Linked DNA regions of Mus musculus: region 2 is reported to be linked to region 1. Evidence: microRNA targets listed by miRTarBase, many of them from high-throughput screens and not tested one by one. Region 1 holds a microRNA gene; the other region holds the end of a gene's coding sequence.

Region 1 (4,150 bases):
CCCATCTGACTAAAAACAAAAAATCACAGTAAAGGTTGAAGTGTCTATAGCCCTAATCCCGGGCTGTCCCAAGTTCTTAGAAATGCGCAGCAAGCATGGCTAGTAAGTGCTTGACTGTGTTATTTTACTCAGTCTTCATAATTATCATATACATAATCCTATGAGGTTTATACATTAATTCCATCTTATAGATGAGGGCAGCAAGGCACACAGAGGGTCTCAAGACAGGGTTCAAACCTAGGTCATTTGACCCTGGAGCCTGTGTTCCTACCCAGTGGTTTGAGCTGATATTATGATAGCCCGATTCCAGCCAGGAAGCAAGCAAGCCTTCTGTCCTACAAACCAGACTGTGGCATTGTACAATGTGAGGAACTCAACTTTGGGGGAAGTCATTGTTCCTGGGTATCTAAGAATACCCATGGTGACTGTCTACTAAGAATGGGAGCCAATAGATTTGTGTCCTGGGGTCAGGGTGACTTCTGTGAGGCGGTAAGACAGGATACAGCAGGACAGGCTGGAGAGTGCCTAGTTAGGCCCTTACCTCAGCCTCCTCCAGGGCTGACTGCAGCTCCAGCTTCTCCACCTCCAGCTGTTTGCGGATCTTCTCCAGCTCGTGCACGTTTTTCCCCCCTTCTCCCAGCTGTTCAGTCAGGTCTGAGATCTCCTCTGAGGATCAGAGGACCAGAAAGATCAATATGCCTTGCCCCACTTCCCTTTCCCTGAGGCTCTTCCCTGTCCCCCAGCTCGCCCACCCTGGAGGTTCTTGTTCTCCCGCTTGAAGGTCTCCAGGTGCTCCAGAGACTCCTCATAGGCGTTCTTGAGCTTGAAGAGCTCTGTGCTCAGGGAGCGCGCCTCCTTCTGGGAAGACTCCAGCTCTGACTGCGACTCCTCATACTTCTGCTTCCACTCAGCCAGGATCTGCAGGGAAGGAGCGCCCTGTGACCAGAACTGCCCAGGCCCCTCTCCTGACTCAGCCCTCCTCCCCCACCTCCAAGGAACATGCTGTGGCCTTGAGCTGGCACTGACCCCACCAGCAGCATGCACAGTGTCTGCAGCCCCACCGTGAGCCTACCTTGTCAAAGTTCCTCTGCTTCTTGTCCAGGGCTGCGGCGGCGGCATTGGAGCGCTCCACGTCCACCATCAGGTCCTCGATCTCATTCTGCAGCCTGTGCTTGGTCTTCTCCAGGGAGGAACACTTGGCGTTGACGGCCTCCACTGCCTCCTCTGCATCCTGCAGCCTCTGAGCCAGCTTCTTCCTGTCCAGGGGAATGTATGTGACTGTACTTGGAGCCACAAGGACGTGAGATGATCTCCTCCTTCCGAGTGTTGATGGGAAAGACCCAGCTTCTCCCCACAGTTCCCTAAGATGTTGGAACCCCAGCCTAGAGGATGTGAGGGCTACTGGAGCCTAGAACAGAGACGTCCATCACAGGCTGCTCAGACTCTCCCACACATACATCACATCTGTGTGACTGTGCACCCCCACCCGCTTCCCTCAGGCCCAGGCTGCATGATGATAGCTCCTCTGACCAACAAGCTTTTTGCTCGTCTTATACGTGAGTGTCAGGTATAACCCGGGCCAAAAGCTCACCCGTCAAAGGAAGTAAGCAAGGGCCAGCCAGGCGTTACAGGTTGCAGGACTCAGGCTTTCTACCAAACACTCCCATGGCTCACCAGGTCTCCCCATCCTCTGTTCTCCCACCCCAAAGCTCTTTCCTGCATCTACTCTGCCTGTCTCCACAGCAGACGCTCTGCTCCATTCTCTTGGCAAATCCAGGGGCAGCCACAGTGGACTCACTTGGCTTCCTCCAGCTCCTCCGTCCTCTGTATGGCATCCGTCTCATACTTGGTCCTCCACTGGGCCACCTCTGAGTTGGCCTTGGACAGGACACGCTGTAGCTCAGCCTTGGCCTCCATTTCTTCTTCATACTGTTCCCTCAGCAGGTCACAGTCATGCCGGGATGATTGCAGTGCGTGGGCCAGGGCGTTCTTGGCCTGGGAAGAGGTGGGCATCAAGGAGATTGGAGCAAACCCAACCCTCCAGTCTCTAGATTCTTATGCGTATTTACTTCAGTCAAGACCCAGATTCACCCACATGAAGTGGAGTCTCAATGTCTTTGAGTGATTTCCATTTGCCTACCTCTCTCCTTTACCAATAAGGAGTCATTAAATGATCAGGAGGGCTGACCATTTAGTAGGGAGATAGGTTACCAGGTTACCTCTGGCATCCAGGTGCACTCTTGGAGGTAACAGTGTGTCCAGTGATGCCACGGAGTCTGTCCCACTGCCATTATATGGGCCTCACCTTGCCTTCCTCCTCCAGTTGCCTCTTGAGGTCCTCCATCTGCTGGGTGTAGGAGAGCTTGCCTCGGGTCAGCTGGGAAATCAATGCCTCCTTTTCTTCCAGTTGCCTAGCCAACTCCCCTGCAGGTGGAATGAAGGGTTCTTGGGCCATGGAAGGGGGAAACCAAAGCTACCAGGGGCAGGCTAGGGGACGGTAAGGGGCACCCACCGTTCTCTGTCTGCAGCTTGGCTCGCTGTGTGGTGAAGTCATTGAGGGAGCGCTGGGCTTCTTCCAGCTTCACGCGGTACTCATTGGCCTGGTCCTCCAGTGTCCGGGACACTTTCTCCAGGTTGGCCTGCAGGCATTAATGAGCAGAGGAAAGGTGAATGTGGAAAGGGCCACGACTGGCAGGGAGGAGGGGAGCTGCTGAGAGGGCCCACCTTGGCCTTGATGATCTGCTCCATGTTGGAGGTGACGTCATCCAGCTCCAGCTTGAACTCGCTCTTCTCTTTCTCCAGCTTCTGCTTCACCCGCTGGAGGTTGTCGATCTGCTCGCCCAGCTCCGCCACGCTGTCAGCATGCTTCTTGCGCAGGGCCGCCGCCGTGGCCTCGTGCTGCAGCGTGGCCTCCTCCAGGTCCCGCCGCATCTTCTGGAACTCGGCCTCGCGCTTCTTATTCATCTCTATCTGCACGGATGTGGCCCCGCCTGCCTCCTCCAGCCTCTCACTGATCTCCTCCAGCTCCCGGGACAGGTCAGAGCGCAGCTTCTCCACCTTAGCCCGGGCTGTGCGCTCTGCCTCCAGCTCCTCCTCCAGCTCCTCGATGCGTGCCTAGCCAGGGATACAAAGGATCAGACCTGCTTCCTGGACCCCTCCCTTGAGGCCCGTGCTCCAGGGCTCTAAAAGGCTCCCATGCGCACTAAACCTCTAGCACGGGTTTTCAGCTACTAGGTATAGCTGGTGATGGCTGGAGACATTTTAAACTGTGTGGAGGATGCTATAGAAGCAAGGGACATTGCTAAACACCCTAGAATAGAAAATTGGCCGAAGCCAAAGTTTGGAGGATTTCCCTAAAGCATCTGAGATTCAGTTTGAGCATCTGCAGCCTAAGTGTTGAGCATCTGTGTTTGGAGCGGGATCCTGAGATCTCCTGAGATTATGAACCTCAGACAGCCAACAGTTTCACCTGACTCTGATCCACTGACTATAAGGCAAGGAAATGAGCACTCGGTTTTTTTTGTTTGTTTTTTTGTTTTTTTGGTTTTTTTTTTGTTTTTTGTTTTTTTAAACTAACATTTGTAGCAAAGCTGCCTCAAGAACAACCAAATCCTACTGCAATTATCTGAGCTAACCATGAGGTCTAATCACCTAGATTCCCCATGTCATGGATTCCTTAGGTATCCTAGGTCCAGGATGTAGCTTGATTGCTCCTTTCCAAGCCAAGCTATGTATCAATAAGATGCCCTCTTCTTCATACCCCTACCTCATTGGTGTGGCCTTAGACTTGGTCCTGACTAAATCTGGAGTATGCACATTTGCCATTTTAGCCTTTTGTCTCTATAGGGAAAGTTTGTGGAATTCTCTCTCTCTCTCTCTTTTTTTTTTGGTGCAATGGACAATTTTAATGAACTACAGAGTAGACCCTGAGGTAGGAGAGAGGGGACTTACACCTCTGCTCTCAACGTGGAGAAGGTAGGACTTGAAGCACAGATCCTACACAGAAGAGGGAGGGGCCTATAGACGCAGTGAGAATAATGACATTATTATCTCCTAGAGGCCAAAGAACTTGCCCAGACTTATGGCAGAAGATGCAGGGGATGGCTCAGTATTCTGGGTAAAATAAAGAAGATGGAGCCAAGATGGGAAC
Region 2 (4,000 bases), not on the chromosome of region 1:
GGTCTTATCTATCCACCTTGGACAGCAGAGTTCAAGGACACATATCTCCACCTTCTGAAAGTCAAATGCTTCCAGCCATTGGCCACCCAAAGTCAATTTCAGATGTTCTTTTGAGACATGGTCTGTCCTGTCTCAGACTTAGGAAGCAGTCGACTTTGAGCTTGGACTTCTGCTTTTCTGACCCTCTACTCCCAATTGCCCGGATTATGGGGTGCTGGCCACTGAACCCAGGGTTCTGTGCATGCCAGGCAAGCGCTATACCAACTGAGAGCATCACCCCTGGCCCTTAGATACACTTCTGAAGGAAAACAGCCTGTTGGTCCACGGTTCCAAGCACAAACTGGGGACCTGCAACACCTCCTGCACGTGTCCAGGGGCACCTTGCAAGGGGTTTTACAGTGTGGGACCAGCAAAGGTGACAGGTCTGGACCCATCAATCATTCTCTTGTTAGGCCAAAATAATCCAGTGTATGAAATGTTACGATGAAAAATCTGCTTTGCAGTTTTTTTTTTCCTTGAGAAAATGTCAACTAATTGAAGCCAAACAGCTAGGGTAGCCTCAACTCCCCACCCTGGTGTCACTGCAAGGTGTGTGGCAATCTTGAGGATCTTGCCTAGGAGTGACAAAGTCCACTTTGGTGGCACAAGCTTTACAGAATCAATCGTCCACAAGGCATGTTTCTGGTTTTAATTTTTTTTTTCTTTGATAAATCAATTGCTTCACAAAAATCCTTTTAAAGACAACAATCCAAGAAAACATATTGTTACAGTATTCACATTTTAAAGATTGTCAGTTTCAAAGACCGAACTTAACTGAAGAAGGCAGCCTGCTGTGTTCCAGTCACAACCTGCGGGAGGGGCCTCTGGGATGGGCATTTCCCTGCCAGCCATGGGGGAGGAGCAAGTCTCCCGCTGCCCCCACAGGTGCACTGGCCACCCAGCAGGCTACACAGTGGCCCGTCAGCCCTAGCCGCAAGGGTCACAGTGCATATTGCATATACACTTCTATTTGACAATCTGGAATCAAGAAAGCAGAAAACCTGAGCCCACCGGAGGAGTGGGTCAGCCAGTCTAGATTTCTGCTAGACAGCCAAACAGCAGGAATGACACGAGTTGACTGTAGGTCTCAGAACACATTCAAAAGGCTCCAATGTTTGGGAGTCTGACCATTTAAACAAAGCTCAAAGGTTTTCTGCACTGGCCAAGGAAAGGCGAGCAGGAGTTTTGCTCGATTTTTTTTTTTTTTTTTTGAAACTGGGTTTCACTACACACCAGAGGCCAACTCGACCTTGCAGCAATCCTCCTGCTTCAGCCTCCTAAGTGCTTGTTTACAGGAATATGCCATTGTGCCCAGCAAGCAGGTGTCTCAAAGGTGCAACTGGCAGACACCAAATCTGCTGGGCAGGGACTCTATGAACCAGCATGGCTCGCCTCATGGGGAGCACTTAAAAGCATCTCTGTGCACGGGGAGGTGAAAGGATATGACCCTGTGCCAGCTCTTTTACTAGCTTTTTTTTTTTAAGACAGGGTCAAGTAGCCCAGGCTTGCCTCCTGTCTCAGGTTCCTGAGTGTTGGGATTACAGGAGTGTGTCACCGTGCCTGGGGTTCTCTTACGATCTTCATGATATTCCTTTGATTTAGCAGGCTAGAGTTCTGTGCTTAGGAAAGATGATTTCAACTGGAAAGGACACGGTAGAGCATGGTGTTCGAATCCCAGCTAGAGCGCCACCAGCTGGTGCAGCAGGGGCTGTGCTTCCATTTTGGGGACTGGCAGAGCTCTGCAGGGCTCACAAGAGAGATGTACTTCTGCTCTAAACCTAATAGAGCCAGCTGATCGTGCAGGCTTTTGTATGCCGGACTTAAACTGTTAAAACAGTTTGTAAATAGGTAAGGGAAAGACTGCTTGAAATAGTATTCTCTCCTCAAAGGAGTTGCTGGCAAGTTCTGGGGGTTTTATTTTGCTGTCTTGGACGCACCTTAAGTGGTTCAAACGGAGCCCCCATTCTTTTTGCTGACTACTTGGCTGTTCAGGTGTGCTCAATGGCTGAAGAGAATCAAGACATTTGGGGTGATGGTGAACTATTCCTGAATTAGCTAAAGAGGTAACCGTGGGGTAACCGTGGGGCCCAAGGCAGGGACCCCTAGACAGCTGTTCCCTATCTGCAGGTGGCCTAGGTACCACTGTGAAGACAGATGCCTGTTTCCTAAGAAAAAGCTTCCCAAGTAGACCCAAACAAACCAAACCAAATCTCAGCCTTGACACTCAGAAATGAGGTCCTCAAACTGTCCTGAGTCTGTAGTGGTAACAGAGAGGGGGAGGAGCCTGGAGAGTGAGTGACAGTGAGAGCCACCAGTGGGCCCCACCGCCACGTTACAGCCATGGTTCTAACTTCTAGGTGTCTGCCAGTAAGAAAGACAGTTTAGGTGTTTGCTGTTTACACCAGCTCTGAGCCAGTGGGGCAGAACACACTTTATATTAGTTTATAATAAACATTCTCTATATAACAGGTTTTAACTAAAAAAAAAAAATCTAAAATTACCACCCAGTTAACATAGCCAGGCAGCCATGGAACTGCAGTCAGACTAGGCGTGGCAGAGCCCTCACTTACCGTACGTCCTACTGAGTACACTGTGTAAGATGCTCTAGCGAGTGTAAAATGTAGCAGTCTGCATCACACATGAGCAGAAACTGGAGATGTCAAAAGCTCACTTGACAGTTGTTTCCTTTTAGCAGCTGAGGCGAGCCCTCTCCTCCCCAGAGAGCAGGAGACCATGAGCAGGTGGCCGCCTTTCAGAACATTCCGAATCGAAAGACAAGCATGTGCTGTTGCTTCTCTAGAAATTTATCCTCAATATAGTCATAATCCAATTAATAACTGATTTATAAAAATAGCTTTTTATCCAATAATCCCAGCAAGGTAAAAATAGGAGTTTCTTTTTCTATATAGCAAATGAAACAGGCAAATGCTGCCTGAGAGAACTGAAGTGTGTGGTGGGCACCCACAGCCCACCGGGGCCAGAGCCCTCTCGCTCTGCAGCCTGCGTGCAGGTCATCTTTCAGACCTGTGAGCGGCACCAGCAGCCGCCCCCAGACCTGCTGTAAACCACACGACTCAATTGCAACTGCAGAATTTTAGAAAATGGCAGCACTGTTCCTTAATCTCGTCAAGGACTCAAGGGGCAGGGGCCACGTTTCTAGCATTAAAAACCCATACACGCACATCTGAAGGAAGTCGCTGCACCGGCAAAGACGTCTTGAAGCTTGCTGCGAAATACAAAAGTGCACCTTCTATATCTACATATAAAACAGGTTACAAAGACAACTGTAAGATGCTTGCTGTGCAAACAGTGAAGAGTCCAGCGCCCAGCTCCACACTGACCCCGTTGGTGCTTCCTACTGAAGGGAGTCGCTGTTCTCCAGCACCAGCCCGCTGATGTGTGTGGGCGCCAGGGCGCCGCCCTCATCCTCTGTGCTATCCACCGACTCGTCCTCACTCTGCCCTGCCATCATGACCTGCTGTACGGCCAGGGTGGCCCCGTCTGAGGACAGGGACTGAAGGCTGTCCACATTCATGTTTACAGGTGTGGTGATGGTCACAACGGCACCTGCAGCAGAGCACACCAGGGTCACCGCCTTCAGTAGTCCTTAGAGCAAAGCACAGCCAGGTGCTGCCTGCTTGTACAGTCTACACCCGTGTGTCAGTCAGGAAAGGAGGGCACAAACCTCCCACACTTCTAGAAAGGCGCCAGGACAGGATTGGTATCACGTGAAGGAAGGTGGTGGCAGGAAGGGTGCCAGAGACAACTCAGCATGGAACAGACAGGAGAGAGCACCAAAGCCAATGACTGTGTGTGTGTGTGTGTGTGTGTGTGTGTGTGTGTGCATGTGTTTGTGTGTGCTGGGGCCAGAATGGACTCACTGGGAGAGCAGCAGTGAGGCCAGTGGTTCCACATTCAGCATCTCAAAAACATAAAGAAATTCAAAACTGTCCCCAAAGCT

The links. Region 1 holds the annotated microRNA mmu-miR-208a-3p (AUAAGACGAGCAAAAAGCUUGU, at 1,533-1,554, opposite strand). A microRNA usually pairs through its seed, bases 2 to 8, with sites in the 3' UTR of a target mRNA and lowers its output. Matches are read on the target gene's strand: a 7mer-m8 pairs with bases 2 to 8, a 7mer-A1 pairs with bases 2 to 7 and ends in A, and an 8mer does both.
Region 2: miRTarBase lists Pknox1 as a target of mmu-miR-208a-3p. Seed matches in the 3' UTR shown: 7mer-A1 at 1,519-1,525.

What each region holds. Positions count from the first base shown.
Region 1 is chr14:54,947,540-54,951,689 of GRCm38, forward strand. It overlaps Mir208a (microRNA 208a), which reads right to left and starts at 1,603; the gene lies at 1,521-1,603. Myh6 (myosin, heavy polypeptide 6, cardiac muscle, alpha) reads right to left here. Exons shown (of 39, transcript NM_001164171.1): 26 at 2,725-3,114; 27 at 2,513-2,639; 28 at 2,306-2,424; 29 at 1,799-1,995; 30 at 1,073-1,256; 31 at 753-918; 32 at 542-666. It overlaps Gm52092 (a long non-coding RNA gene), which reads left to right and starts at 3,501. Exons shown (of 3, transcript XR_003950992.1): 1 at 3,501-3,975; 2 at 4,058-4,150.
Region 2 is chr17:31,604,359-31,608,358 of GRCm38, reverse strand. It overlaps Pknox1 (Pbx/knotted 1 homeobox), which reads right to left. Exons shown (of 11, transcript NM_016670.3): 11 at 666-3,606. The coding sequence ends at 3,395. Among named protein-coding and RNA genes, the nearest start is that of Cbs, 31 kb to the left of the region's middle.